Caenorhabditis elegans: one gene and its partners. The protein of the gene in region 3 interacts with the protein of the main gene of each other region in a pairwise test. Each region holds a gene or a part of one and is shown on either strand. Other genes may lie near its edges. The genes, in order: R02F11.1, col-20 and ccz-1.

Region 1 (4,887 bases), 8.9 Mb from region 3:
GAAAGACTCAAAATAGTCTGAAATTCTGATTAAAAACATTGTTTGAAATTGCTCCAAACCTAGGAGCCCTTCTAATTTTCGAACCAATCAGCGTCTTCGAACTCATTTTGTCTGATTGGTTGGAAACTGAGCTGATTAGTCTTGCGGTTCTCAGTTTTGGAGGAAATCTTCAATATATTCGCCCACAAAGTGATGAACTTATAAAATTTTTAAAAAAGTGAATTCAAAGTTTTCCTACAGGATGTACTAGCTCTACCTCTGATCCTTCCCTGATCCTTCAATCTATGCTCCCCTCCCTCAGCAATGGATTTTAAGTTACAATCCTAAAAATTTCCAGGAATCGGTGAAGAACCCAAGCTCAACGTCACCATCACCTCTGTAGTCATCATGGTGTCAACAGTTCTCGTCAAGCTGTCCCTCTACCTATTCTGTAAACGATACAAGGAACCATCGGTCAACGTGCTCGCAATGGACCATCGCAACGATTGCATCTCCAACACGGTCGCCCTGATCTGTGCCTGGCTCGGCACCAAGTACTCGTACTACTTTGACCCAGCCGGTGCTATTGTGGTTTCTATGTACATTTTGTATACCTGGGTGCAAACTGGACGGGAGCATTTGGCAAAGCTGTCGGGTAAAACTGCAGAGCCAGAGTTCATTAATAGGATCATCAAAGTCTGCTTGGATCATGATGCTCGGATTTCACATATTGATACGGTTTATGTGTACCATTTTGGAAGCAAGTTTTTAGTTGAGGTAAGAATATTTTTTCTCTGGATTCTTCAAGCCTAAGCCTGAACCTAAGCCTGAGCCTAAGCCCAAGCCTAAGCCTAGGCCTAAACCTACACCTAGGCCTAACATAAGCCCGTATCGCACATTTCTGAAGAGGCTGAGCTTACAACTGAATTATTGTGCTACTCTAAAATCTGTAATATTTCCAGGTGCACATTGTGCTCGACGAGAATATGATCCTCAAAGAATCCCATGACATCAGTGAGACCCTCCAATCAAACATCGAAAGCTTGCCGGAAGTTGAACGTGCATTTGTTCATACAGACTATGATTATGATCATCATCCTCACGACGAGCATAAAATTGTTTGAATTAGTTATTATTAGAGCACATTTGCATTATGATTTTGTTTTTTTCTTCTTCCCAGTGCCCCCCTACTTTAAGTTTTATTTCATATTTTTCCGGTTTCATGACAGAAATCATCAGCATCTCTCAATGTTTTTTTTTCGCATAATTAACTATACTTTTTTTTGTTTGAAATTTTGAAAATTTTGATTTGCAAACTATAATATTTTTTCTCACATATCGTCGTAGAGTGTCAAATGTTTCTTTTTTTATTTCATTAATTAAAATAAAATAATAAATAAACAAATTAAATTTAAAAACAATTCAAATATTTTTTTGGGATTTCGTTTGTTGTTGATGTTGTTGTCTTGGTGGTGGGAACGATTCGTTTCAAATAGATTAGAATAATTTAAAAGGAGCAGAGAGTCAGAGAACGGAGAAGGAAAGTACAATATATTAAAAAAATATATAAAAATATAGAAAGACTGGGGGCAATTTGTCGCATGAAAAAAGGGAAAAATTGAATTCCATTTTTTTACTTTCCACTGCTCAAATAGCACAAGTTTCCAGCTCCACAGGTGTATCCAGTTGGGCAGACTCCGTTGACACATGATCCGAGGACTCCTCCGGATCCGAGTGGGCAACAGTAGTTGTTGGTGTTGCACATGAATCCGGTTGGGCAGACCTGGTTTACACATGGTCCCGTGCTGTTTCCGGATTGGCATCTGCAGCAGTAGTTGTTGCTCGAGCAGAAGAATCCTTGTCCGCAGAGTCCTCCGAGGCAGGCGGCGACGGCTGGTCCTCCGGAGCAGGCGGCTGAAATTTTTGTTGGAATTAGACGACTTTCCACACCCATATTTGAACTCGTTCTGATACGAGCTAAAGATAGAAAAAGATAGGTTCGTGCGTGTTGTCCAAACCGCGCCGACTTCGTGAGACACAGAGCACAGCAGCACGCACCGAGCAAACGCAAACACCCCGCGAAACTTCGCAAATATTTTGTATTTATGTTGAGCCGTATAAGAAGGTGTCTCCATCACCGCAAAAGGGACTAAGCAGCGTCTCCCCGGGAGTTGTAGCAATCATTAGGTAATCAGTGTGTGTGTTTGCTCGAACCGGAAGGGAACGGCGGGGACACTTGAGAAATTGGAACGGTGACTGGATTCTTGATATCTCTTGATATGATTTTGATAAGGTTTGAGGTTTGAACTAAGGGAGATCTAAATTTTAAAGGTGTCAGCATTCAACTTTTATCTCATATTCCTTACTAAAGGGTTAAAGGACGATGCGTTACTTAAGCGATATGAACGGATCTGGGTACACTGAACCTAGGGAAGCCAGGACTTGAACTCGTGACCTCTAGATTGCTAATTATCAATACTACCGACTGAGCTATCCCCGCTCCTAGTTTTTAATAATTGCGACGTTTTCTTTAACATCTCTGATTTATGAAAAAAAGCAATTTTTCAACTTCCTACACAACCTTCATATTAAAAAAACTTACTATCAAGGTTATTGTTTCCTGGGCAACAGCATCCTTGGACACAGACAGATGCGACAGAATATCTCTGGCACTGGGACGAGGAACTGCATGAGGAATAGCAATTGGATGGGCATCCAAACTGCCTCTTCTGACGGAATACTGTGGAGTTGGCTTCACGAATTTCTGGAGCTGAAAGTCGGATTTTAGGAGTTGAAGAGTGAGTGACAACATACCTTCTTTCGCGTCTTCTGCGTTCAGTACCCAGAAGCAGGCGAGGGGGAGGATAATGCAGAAGGAGATGGCGAGTTGCTTCATAATGAGTTATTTGAAGGTTTTAAGACAAGTAGGAACACCTGACCCTGCGCTGGCCTGAAATTTTAATAATAATAATAATATTATATCAGGAAACTAATAAAGATTCAGATAAATAATAAAGAGTAATATGTAAGTAAAACTGTAAAATTAGTAGGTAGAGTAAGGTAACTCAAAAATAAATCTGAAGATTTGTTCTCAAGGAGAAGCCCGATGGAGCAGCAAGACTAAATGGTCATTTGTACGTAACAGTGAGGAGAGAGGGGAGGGGACACTAACTGACCGTCTTCTCTTTTTCGTCTCCCTCCGACTTTCTGTGTTAGCTTAGACTCTGGCGCCTCCGCGCGGCGACGTGCTCTTTGCGCGCGGCACGAAACTCTCTCATTTCCCCCATCGGGCTCAGTCCAGTCTATGTGTTTGTAAAATGAAGTGGACGATTGATGTTCAAATACTTGAGTGACCCCACACACACACACACACATACACCAAAAGATTGTGAGCGCGCGCTTGTCAAAATGTCGTTCAACTTATCTTATCACGGTTGAAGCATATATAGAAACTTTCCAATTATATTCGGATTGCTAAGGTTTTTATGAAAAGCCCGGAGTCTGTGGTCAATGGAAAACATATAGCTTTCTAATAGTAAGAGCCTTTTGCTTCTTTAAATTTTTGCAATGCTTGATACTTAAATAGTAGTTAGGATGTTAGTTGATAGTTTTTTTAATGCTACAAGAAAAATTAGAATAGTTGAAAAAATGATTCCTACCGTATTTAGCATATTGGACATGAAACTCATTGATCTACTTAAGCGGCGTTTACTGTCTAACTGTAGATAAATATTTTGCACGTGTTTTGTCAGTTAATGACAGTTTTTTGATAGAACCGAAGGGAACAGAGATATAACAAAATAGAGCAAGGGTTGCATGTCTAATAGGGAAACTACGGTGTCTAGAAAATCTTAAAAACAGAGAACAGAGCAAAATCTGTTCCTGATGTGTGAGTAGCCGATTTGCCATCGGAAGAAAATTTGACTCTAAAGTGTCGGAGCACTGTGCTCTTTATACTCGGTGCACTCGAGTGGCAGCGGTGGCGTCAGAGAGACAGCGAGAGCTGCCGGGCCAACTGACCGGCAGGTAAGAGTATCCGGTTTTGGGATGCAACACACGCGGGTGGTGTAGACCACGGCCGGAGACGGGAAGCCATCATCCTTGAAGAGGCAACTTCTCAGAGAGAAAGTGAGCACATAATACACCTCCATTATGAGAGCACAACTCTCTTTTTTTCCCAACACTCGTCCAAACGCGGTTTAAAAAAAACACGTGGAATATGCTTTGTGACGTCTGGGAATTATTGGAACAAGAAACATGGAAGTCATGCGAGAGTCTTCGAACAACTTAAGATGTACGCATAATGTCTCAGTGGAGACATCGCGATCGAGGTCCGGACACAATGAACCAGTGGTGGCCGCCAGCAATCTAGAGGTCACCAGTTCAAGTCCTACCTCCCACTAGGTCCATCCAGCCTTAAGTGGGAAGTAGAGCAATCCACGACTGGACTATTGGTCACAGTCCCCGGCTCGAACAAGGCTTAAATTGGAGCTGGACTGCTGTGTCTGACCTTTAGATACGCAGAAAAAGCTCAGTTTTAATTGCCGTACATATTCCAGAGTTGTGTCTGTTTTGAGCTTGTTCTGCATATGGGACGCCGAGGCATCAAAGTGCCTACCTACGGCAAATTAGCCGTGCTCAACAAACTCCAAAAAATTAATACTCATTGATGCTTTTTGGAGCACCAAAACTACTGAATTCTGAACAATCACCTGGATTCCGAATAAGTTCCGTGTAGTATGTTTGCTTATGCATCTAAATAACTCAATTTTGTAATTTTTTGGCGAAAAAATCAATAGTTTTAGTCAAAATTGTACTGTCAAATTTTTGACGTGTGCGACAAATTTTGAAATTTGCCGAGCTCGGCAAATTTGGCAAATCTACTTTTTTGAAATTTCCCGTGCTCGG
Region 2 (4,571 bases), on a different chromosome or scaffold from region 3:
CAGATGTTTTTTTCTGTGGCGTCAATGAGGGTAAAAACGAACATAGGAGAAAGAGGAAAAAATCGAAAATCGCGACCAAGTTTTAGTTTTTTTTCGTTGGTTTCCCTCTCTTTTTTTCGTGACTTCTTCTGTATTACACTATGATCGTTGAACGTCTCGGTTTTTGAGGAATGCAGATGGAACGCCTTGTACTATACCACCCTTCTTTTTGAACTTTTGAATTGGAATTAGAAATAACAGTTTAAGAAAAACCCCTGAAATCTGAAAGATGGTTAGCATAACTTGTAGTCATTTTTCAGGATATCCAGGAACATTGTCAATTTTCAGTTTAACAATCCAACTTATTGGAAAATATGTTTAAAACGTTGGAAAAATCCTCAAACACGGCCCTCAAAATTTCGACAACTTTCAGCCAGTTTTCAGATGTTTTTTTGCACATTTTATTAGTTAGGAATATTATTTTTAAATTAATCAAATATTTTTCAATATTTCTAAATTTATTTTTGACTTAAATTGCTTCTTGGAAACCGCTTCAGATTTATAGAAGAATCTCGAATCAAAGCGACATGACTTGGTTTTTATCATTTTTCGGTTGAGCGCATTTCCTATAGATCAAAAGGATTTGTGACCAGTCTGACATCTTCATCGAAAATTACATGAAACGTAGTAGTATCTATGGCAACACATTCACCAGACATAAATGGTTTCCTACAACTATTTCAATGGTCATTAGAACTATTACCGTATCTTCTTATCAAGTTTGAAATCGCTTCTGAAAGAAACTTCCTGTTGTTGAACTAAACTTTTTTGAAAACACACTTATATGATAATTCGAATCAACTAATATACTCGAAAGTTCTTCATTTTGAGTGAAAAACATAAACGACCAGAAAGAAAAGAAGAATTTAAAAACATAGAAAGACAATCTAATATCCTGGAGCAGTTCTTGGTGGTGGGCAGTGATCGCAAGATCCCTTGGCTCCGGCGTTTCCTGCGGCTCCTGGAGCTCCATCCTCCCCGTCCTTTCCTGGCTCTCCGTTTGGTCCATTGTCTCCTGGTGGTCCTGGAGGTCCGGCTCTTCCTGGGTGTCCTGGTCGTCCATCGGCTCCTGGCTCTCCTGGACCTCCTGGCTCTCCTGGTTGTCCTGGCTCTCCTGGTGGGGATGGAAGAGAACGAACTTGTCCTGGAGTTCCTGGGTTTCCGGCTCCTCCATCTTCTCCGGCCTCTCCTTGTGGTCCTCCTGGTCCTGGTGGGCCACGTGGTCCTCCACGTCCAGCTGGTCCTGGTTCTCCGTGTCCTCCTGGTGGTCCTGGTGGTCCCTTTGGTCCTGGTCCTCCGGCTGGTCCAGCTGGTCCAACTGGGCAATCGAAGCAGAAGTCAGCGGCAGTTGGCTTCTCGTCCTTATCGGTAGAATCGCGACCTGGCTCTCCATCATTTCCTGGCTTTCCATCATCTCCTGGAGCTCCGTCCTCTCCTGGAGATCCTGGGGCTCCGGCGGCTCCAATTCCGCAAGAACAGCATTGGTACTCAGACTGACGCTTTTGACGATCAGAAACAGCGTTAGATCGGACCTTGTCGAGCTTGAAGAATTCGGATTTAAGATCAGCATTCTTTGATTTACAGAAGACAAGCTCCTCTTGGAGGCCAGATTGCACATTTTGCATGTGCAGACAGAGCATTGGCACGGCAATGATAGCCGTCAAGGTGGCAATGGTGGAAACAGCCACACCTAGAAAATGAAAGTGTGAACAATTGAATAATAGGAGTTATGATAATCTTTGGCAAAATGATATTAAACATCTTATAATATATTAAAGTTTTTGAAAACAAAGAAATTGATTTTTAAAAAATAATTACCGAAGAAGGCGAATTTTTTGACGGAATCCGCCTCAGCGTACTTGATTGACTTCTCGTCGGCCATGTCCGTTAGTGTGATGGTTTCCACAACTTTCGACCCCTTCTTTTATAGTTTCGCTTGGGAACCGATAGCGTCGGTGTACAGTAACTACTAGAGATAGGAGAGTGGGAGTAGGCTTTCCAGGAAAAAAAAGAAGATGCTTGAAGAGGGATCATCTGAAAATTGGAGACGCTCGACAATTTGGGGGCTGATTGGTTTTCGGGGTTGGCTTGAAGGGAGACGTAGAAGACCGTTGCCTGGGAAGAAAAAAGAAAACAGAAAAACGAACCGATCTGAACTGTTATCATTCCTTGCAATCGGCAATCGTGCCGTTGTGATGGAAAATAGAAAAATGACGGAAGTTATTTCTTAAAATTTGATAGGGGTAGCAACATAAAACTTTTCCTTTGTTGAAAATGTTTCAGGATTTTTAGAACCTATTTTCGCGAGTGTCAATAAAAACCAGATAATACCATTCGGCAATCCAAAATTCCGAGTAGAACATTGCAAAATCTATAATTTGGTAAAGGGACGAGCTTTTGTTATGTGACAGAAAAACATTTCAGGTATTCATTTTTTAAAATTCATTGCAATTTAACTTTTCCGAAATTTTACCTCACAACTGCCAAGTTTTTGAGCTCGATCTTTTCCGGTTTGCTGAAAGAGTGAGAAGCCTATTTCTTTTTTGACAGCTCCAAAAGTGGCAAATACCAAATTGCAGAAAATGTTTTTGTGCCCATTCCCAATTTCCACTAGTTGAGGTCACAAAAAAAGTTGATAAAAAGCCTCGTCTGAAAAAGTGTCCACAAAAAAAGTATACAATTCAATTTTTATTAAAAATTACTTTAAAACTGAAATTTACAGGCAGGTTTTGATCACATTTATGCCTCGTGATGTATTTTCCACAACTAGCTGGAGGCCTACATTCCGCAGCTCAACGTTGCCATTGTTTCTATAAAATTTCGCATCTGGTAACTACTCTAAAGTTTTGGTCTTCCTAGAGTTTATTCGCCGTAAAGAATTTTTTTAAAAATTATAAAAAATTAAATTTCAAATATTAGTTTTTTGATTCATTAGTGTGAATTAAGTTTTGTTAACGCGAAAAAAAGTTTCAAAACCTTAAGCTCAAAACTAAGCGTATCGAAGAGCTTCTTTAACTTTTGTGTTTTCATAATTTCTATTACCAATATTTTTCCACATTGTCACCGTTCTTTAAACGAATCATAATAGTTTTGTTTTACGAGTCACCTTCCTTTTAAATGACCGTCCATCATTACATTCACTCATTTTCACTTTCTATCTCTTCACCTTTCTTTTCCTATTCATCCAATTCTCTTTACAAGTTCAATTAATTTCAATAGTTTTATTGGTTTCTTGTTGAAGAGCCCCGTGAAATGTTTCGACAGGTATTATAAATACAAGTAGAGAGAAAGAGAAATAATTTAAGCAAGAAAATAGCAATTGAGGAATTAATATCCTGGAGCAGTTCTTGGGATTGGGCAGTGATCGCATCCTCCTGGAATTAGGGAATGATAAGAGAAATGTACAAAAATTGAATAAATACTTACCCTTGGCTCCGTCCTTTCCTGGCTCTCCAGCCTCTCCTGGTGCTCCTGGGTTTCCTGGAGCTCCATCTTGTCCTGGCTCTCCTTGTGGTCCTGGTGGTCCTTGTGGTCCTGAGTTTCCTGGGCGTCCATCCTCTCCTGGTGGTCCTTGGGCTCCTGGCTCTCCTGGCTGTCCTGGGTTACCTGGTGGGGCTGGGACGGTGCGGACTTGTCCGGGGGCTCCTGGTTGTCCTGGAGTTCCGTCATTTCCTGCGGTTCCTGGTGGTCCTTGTGGTCCTGGGGCTCCTGGGGCTCCTGGGCGTCCATTTGGTCCTTGCTCTCCTGGTGCTCCTGGCTGTCCTGGTGGTCCCTTTGGTCCTGGGTTTCCGGCGTTTCCGGCTGGTCCTGGTGGGCACTCGAAGCAGAAATCGGCTGGAGTTGGTTGAACGTGCTCATTTGGAGCATCTGGTCCTGGGGCTCCTGGGGCTCCTGGTCTTCCGTCATTTCCTGGGGCTCCGTCTTGTCCTGGGTTTCCAACGGATCCAGCTGGTCCAATTCCGCAAGAGCAGCATTGGTAGGTTTGACGCTTCTCACGGCTCTCAGCTTTACGGAATTGATCGAGCTTGGTGTATTCTCCACGAAGAGAGTCGGAACGAGTACGGCAGAAATTGATCTCATCTTGAAGTCCGGATTGAACGTTTTGCATGTACATGCAAAGCATTGGGACTGCAACGATAGCTGTCAAAGTGGCAACAGTGGAGACTGCAATTCCGAAGAACGCGAATTTCTTCACGGTCTCGACCTCCACAAGCTTTTGCTTATCGTCTTGGCTCATACTGTAACAATGGAAAATGATGGATTGAAGTTTAGAAATCAGAAAGTCAGAAATTATGAGAGTTGTTTAGAGTTATAACTACAAAAAATAATGTTTAGATTATTTTTAAAAATTTAATTAAAAATAATTAAAGAATAATATTTAGAAGTAATAATGAGAATAAAATGAGAAGATGAAGCTAGAATGAAGCAAAGATGTGTTTCTCCTCTCGCCATCACCGGTCTTATAAGCGATTCGGGTCTGCAGCGGTCGCCTACCCTTTTTGCTCCTTTTTTTGTTGTTCTGTTGAATATCG
Region 3 (5,993 bases):
CATAGTATGCGTCGACGCATTTACGAATTTTTTCAATTTGATCTTCTTCTTTCAATTTTCTTGTTTTGTCAAATCGTTCTCGATCAGTTGCAGATGGTCGATTTGTGATAAATTCTTCGACAGAACATTTTTGTTTTTCTTCGAATGTCTTTTTAATACGTGCCTTTTCTTCCAAAAACTCAAGAGGGTATTTCAAGTTGGTCGGATCTTCGGTGATTCTGTAAATAATTAATTTAATAAAAAATTGAATTGATTTTGAGAACGTACGCTCCATCGGCCAAAGCAATATCCATTTCGACACCTTTGTGGAACATATTCTTAGCAGCAAGTAGTCTTGATGACGGTGGAACTGATGCTGGCATTTCAAGTTCTTCTGGGTCCAATGGTTCATACTTGAATCAAATAAAATATAAATTGACAAAATATCGGATCATAACATACCATGACACTATTCATCGAAACTAGTGGAGTCATAATTCCAGCCGGTAAAGCCATATACGATTTCTGTGGCTTCAAATTTTCCTCATCAAACGGCATTCCATCAATATCTTCTCCATCGTCCTGCTGGTCATTTTGATTCCATGTGTTCGAAACAGAAGCGTGTGGTCGTTCAGCTGAATGTTTTGGAGCTTGATCAAATCTTGATCTTCTCATGTTTGACAGTGGAGCATTAGGATGATGCGATGCAGGTCCGGATGATGGCCCATGACGAAACTCTGTAAGAACCAATTTTTAAAATTTTCAGACTAAATTTCTATTTCTCACCATCAATTTTTCTCTCAACTTCGTCAATTTGTCTTTGAATATGCTGGGAATATGTGACATGCTGTTGTTCATATCCATCAAACGTTGCCATCAGATTACTTCGAATCGACTCCCGAATTGTTCCATAAGATGATTTTTCAATTTCTCTGTCAGTGCTAACAATTTGAACTGTATTCCTGAGTTGTTTGAATACAGAATCAGCGAAATATTGTCGACCTTCCCATTCTCCTAAAAGCTTTCCTTCTAACTTGTTGCTCAACTCACTCGACGAAGAAAGTTCTATACAATATGCATACATTTTTGGAACGTATCGAGCCAGCATTTTCATTTGATTTTCTTCTTTTTTTCTTTGACTGAAATTTGGTATTTAACGACGTTTTGTTCAGTATTCTAAGCTTACCAATGAAATGCCCAATCATTGATTAAATATAGAATATGAAGTCGTAGATATTCTCCAGATGCTTCATCTTTAACTTTATTTAACAGAAAAGACAGTATTATTTCTCTCAGCTGATCGCTTGTGCAGTATTCGAAAATCCACTTTTTCGCTTGCTGAAGAAAATTTTTCGTCAAATTTCTTTATTTTTTGAAAAATTACTTACTGAAATCAAATCTTTAGAGCATTTCGGTGTAGCCATTGCATCTAAATAGGAATTGAGATCTTCCACGTTCAGATTATTCTGACTCAACATCTTCTCAATTTTCATTGTTTCAGAAGTTCGAATAGCAGATTTAAGATGTGCCTGGATAAACGTGGATACAAGATTGTATGTTTGCAAAACACACCATTAGGAGCTCGTCCATTCCATTTCTGTGAGCGTTCAAATTCTGCTCACTGTCGATAATCTTTTGACGTAACTCATCGATTTTCTTGCGCCATTCGACAATCTCTGGTGGATCCATCAGAGAAGGAATCGACTGCCGTTCTGAAAAGTCAAAAATTAATGATTTACAATCTTGAAACGTTTAAAAGATTCAAACCTGGTGGAGGGAAGTCCCTAGGGAGTGGAATATCGCCACTGCGCCATGATTGACCGTGCTGAGAGCTACTGCCACCTCTCCAGCTAGAATTTTCATTCATGTCGTCTAAAAGTTATATGTTTATATGATCAAATATTTTATCTCTTTCTTGTGACAAATAAACAATATATATATTCTGCATGGTTTTGCAGAAAATTTGCGGAGGATTTAAAAAATAAATCGAGACATGCGCCAGTGATCAAGTTTTGCGTCAGTGAACAACGTTTGCGTCAATCATTTATGTCTGCTACCCTCCTAGTCTCACACACTCTTTTTCTCTCTTTTATTTTATTTTATTTTTAATTTTAATTTTAACACTGCACGGTACAAAACATATATTTTGCTTTTTTCAGAATGGAGTCGATTGCAAATCCATTGTATTTCTTCTCCAACTTGTCATTAAACCCGCCATCCTGCTCTAATGTGGTCAGATTCATTGGTAATTGAATTTTAATTAAAAAAACGAAATAATTATGTTTTTACAGATGTCCTTGAATTCTTTTTCGTGGCGCATCCATTATCAGGACGAAAAGAAGGCGAAGAACATAATCGTGTGATGTATTTTCATCCGAAAGGCGAGCAATTAGAGAGACAGGTTTTCAATATCGTAATACTTTTTATTCTAATAACTGTATTAATTTCAGACCGAAATAACAGGATTCGCAGAAGCCGTTGTTAACTTTACAGAAAATTTCTTGAGCACCTCCCGTCGGGAAATCAGTGAAAGAATTAGTGAAAATGAAGATGGTTTCGATTTCCGAACTGTGACGACGCAGAGAACAGAGCACGTTTATATTCGTACAGAAGACGATCAATTTATTCTTGGAGTATCAATTTCTAAACAATTATCATTGGTTTCTGATTATCCTCTATTTCAACCAGCGATTAGGAGTATACTTTCCGATGCCTACAAAATGTTTCGAATGTTTTTTGGAACTTTTTCTTCTTTTATCAAGTAAGTTAAAGTCTAGTTTATAAAAATAAAAATATCTTTCAGAAATGTTCCCGACGACATTCCAAAATTCAAAGAACGCCTTGATTTTTTCTTCTCCAAGTACATCCCACTACTGAAAGTTCACAAAATGCCACTACTTGATCATCTTGGAGGCGTCGAATTTCTACGAATGTCTGGTCCTCTCTACTTGAACGTTGTTTCTTTACTTTCCGAACTTCGTGAAGAATTCCAAGTTATCGAGAAAATAATGTTCTTGTATCAAGATAAACTTCTCTACTATCAACTTTCGAAACGCGATCTTCCATCACTATTTCATTATTTGACACATAATTTGCTTCCAACAACATTGGCTCCAGAACTTGAACATTCTGGAAGAAATGCTTCAAAAGGAAGATATCTACGAGGACCAACAGATTTAACAACAGATGCTCCGTTGCTCGGTGATGAGTCACTTTCTGTAGTTCATTTGCATTCCGATCAAGGAACTGAATTTCAAGAAGAACTCATCGGATACCAGATGATCGTTTATCGATGTCTAAATGCAACAGTTTGCATGTTTGTCAGAAATTGTCCAGCAAATGGTGGATTAGAAATCAGAAGGGATTCTGGTGAGTTTTTAAAAATAGTTTTTCGAAACGAAACGTTCTTATTACGTTTTGAGAATAAATTGAAAATAAAAAAGCGATTTTCAACTCTTGCTAATCTGCTAATTTGAATTGCCGCTCTTTTGTATCTAAAATCCACCCGTAGAACCGTGCCGCGCCTCGTTTTTTTGCAATTGTACCGCAAATTTGTCTTTTTGTGTTGTTTTTTTATTCTTAATATAGAAAAATGGCATAAATGATCAAATATATTTTTTTGTATATCAAAAGAATTAAAAAATCGTATCGAACCCGAAAAAAGTACATGTTCCTGAAATTCTAAACACAAGGAAACGTTTTTAAAAATGATTTCTAAATGCTTTTGAAATAGGAAAAATATTTTTGAACATTTTTGAATTTTTCTTCATTAAAAATTAGTCAAGAAACACAAAAAAGAAGAATTCGTGTCGAAATTGAAAAAAAAAGTCGAAGTGCGGCACGGTTCTATGGGCGGAGTTTAGAGACAAAAGCGTGGTAATTCAAATAAAGGGATTAGCAAAAGTTGAATTTTCATCAAAATCAGATTTTTTCCAAATTTGGTGGATTTTTCTCATCTTTCTTATGTGATATTTCGGCACATTAAACTACTTTTAAGGTAATATCTACATTTTCCGAACTCCACCTTTAAACAAAATAAATCTTTTTCCGACTTATTTTCTTTTCCAGAATCATCTCAATCATCTCGCGCCACTCCTTCACAGAATGGTGTTGTCAGTCGTCGACTTCTTCGAAATATTGATCAGTTTTTGGAAACCGAACTTTCACAAGTAGCGAGTAAAATTGGTGACGAGTAAGTTCAAACTTACATTATATCACAATAAATTCCATTAAATTCCATTAATTTCAGAATCGGCGACGAAAAGTTCCCGGAAGCTCCAGATTTCCATTACATTTACTTCAATCCATCATCGTTATCCATGACCTCAAGCCTTTCAACATCTCCGAAGCTTCCCGTTGCCGCTTCTGGATCTAATTCAACATTAAAAGTACCACTGCCACCAGTTGATGTTAATCGTTTAGTATGTGATACAATGAGCAATTTTGTGTCGGAAACTGAAGAATTTGGTGAATGTTTCGTCAAATCTTCAAGTGATTGGTGGATTGTTATCAAAAAGGTAACAACATTCTTGGCAAAAACAAAATTCAATGTTTTTATTTTTCAGGTTAATTCTCGCCTCCTTGTCTTAATCATTCCTCCATCCAACTACACATCATCCCTTGCCGATGTCCAATCAAAAACTGCAACAATTGTTCGATCCCATTTCGAAGCCATATTTTTTAGTTGATAATATTCATATTTTCCCATGCATGTGTGCCAAAATTTTGTGATATTTGCCTATAATTCAATTCCGTTGCCTTGTACTTTTATATCTTATTCAATTTTTTCTACAGATCTATATTTATATAAAGCTTTTCAATTTTAGAACATGAGAAACATGTTGGGCTCCACATATACTGCCGGGGAATTTCGAAAATCGGATGAGTGCCCTTTGATGCTGAAAATTAGATTTAGTCAAAAGATCTGATCATGCTCCCCCTCGACCACTCCGACGGCTCCTTTGCTCTTTTTCCACACGATTTTCGACATTTTCTTCAAATTTCTTCTTTTTCTTCTCTCTTCAGCAAAAAGCTTTTCATTTTAATAATCCAATTGACTTTTGAAATTTCCCCCCCCCCCCCGCACTCTCATGACTTCTTGCCAAAAATTTATATATATATTTCTGATGTTTATATGTATATGTGTCGTCAAGGTGACAAATGCATGTACATTTTATAAGGGAGGTCTGAGAAGAGAACCACCAAGAAATAAAGTGGGTGGAGTTTCTTAAAGAGGCAAGAAGGCAATGAGATGGAGGGGCAGGTGAGCATATTGAAGGGAAAACGAATTTATTGCTCTCTCGATATTGACTCTCGGGGACCTTCATTTACCCTCTTTTTGAATGAGATTTTCTTTTGCCCAAGTGAGATTTCGTCTCGCCACGAGCGAAAGTTTTCAGCTACCGTACCCTCTAGTACTGTAAATTTTTAATTAAAAATGTCACTCAACAAATTTGTGGCCTTTCCATGAAAACACCCAAAAATCCGAGTAAGACAAGAATATAATTGATGAAATTGAGCAAAACACTCTCACAATCAGGTACATATGTACCAGGGATGCCACCAAAATTGTTTGACCAAAAAACAAAAAAAAACCTTTTTTTTTCAAAAACCCAAAAATTCAAAAACCAAACCAAAAAACAAAAAAAGAACATCTCTGTCGGTTCCTGTTACTGAAAACTTTCGCTCGTGTCCCAATGAGTTTGGGTACTATATCTATAGATCTATATATAGATTAATTATGGAGAAGCGGGAATGGTGATTTCGCTGTAAAATTCCCAGAAATATCAGACATTCAGAAATGTCACAAAATAAAAACTAAAAAATCTAGAAAGAATGGAAAATTCAACTTTTTGAAACGTTGTTTGAGTTCCCTCAAAGATGAGGACTGCAAGACCAATCAGCAACTTGCTCCGCCCACTCTTAAACCAATCAAACAGAATTGAAGAGCTCAAAAACACTAATTGGTTTGATAGTAGGCGTGGTTTCTCATTTTGGAGGAAATTCAAATTGGG

The links.
Region 1: the proteins of ccz-1 (region 3) and R02F11.1 interact in a two-hybrid assay, tested with the Caenorhabditis elegans proteins (one large-scale study listed by BioGRID).
Region 2: the proteins of ccz-1 (region 3) and col-20 interact in a two-hybrid assay, tested with the Caenorhabditis elegans proteins (one large-scale study listed by BioGRID).

What each region holds. Positions count from the first base shown.
Region 1 is NC_003283.11:4,799,136-4,804,022, reverse strand, and holds R02F11.1 (CC domain-containing protein), read right to left. Parts: upstream 2,930-4,887; 5' UTR 2,876-2,929; coding exon 2,794-2,875; intron 2,750-2,793; coding exon 2,582-2,749; intron 1,894-2,581; coding exon 1,613-1,893; 3' UTR 1,339-1,612; downstream 1-1,338. Other genes in the region: R02F11.3 (Cation efflux protein cytoplasmic domain-containing protein), read left to right, coding at 338-756, 942-1,103.
Region 2 is NC_003280.10:4,868,851-4,873,421, forward strand, and holds col-20 (Nematode cuticle collagen N-terminal domain-containing protein), read right to left. Parts: upstream 1,942-4,571; 5' UTR 1,922-1,941; coding exon 1,858-1,921; intron 1,730-1,857; coding exon 927-1,729; 3' UTR 820-926; downstream 1-819. Other genes in the region: col-73 (Nematode cuticle collagen N-terminal domain-containing protein), read right to left, coding at 3,367-3,413, 3,466-4,276.
Region 3 is NC_003283.11:13,676,737-13,682,729, forward strand, and holds ccz-1 (Vacuolar fusion protein CCZ1 homolog), read left to right. Parts: upstream 1-2,138; 5' UTR 2,139-2,139; coding exon 2,140-2,224; intron 2,225-2,270; coding exon 2,271-2,380; intron 2,381-2,429; coding exon 2,430-2,740; intron 2,741-2,782; coding exon 2,783-3,348; intron 3,349-3,511; exon of another isoform or gene 3,512-3,661; intron 3,662-4,047; coding exon 4,048-4,171; intron 4,172-4,228; coding exon 4,229-4,496; intron 4,497-4,544; coding exon 4,545-4,667; 3' UTR 4,668-4,803; downstream 4,804-5,993. Other genes in the region: tag-65 (CID domain-containing protein), read right to left, coding at 1-218, 268-392, 442-716, 766-1,118, 1,166-1,317, 1,368-1,508, 1,552-1,691, 1,747-1,846.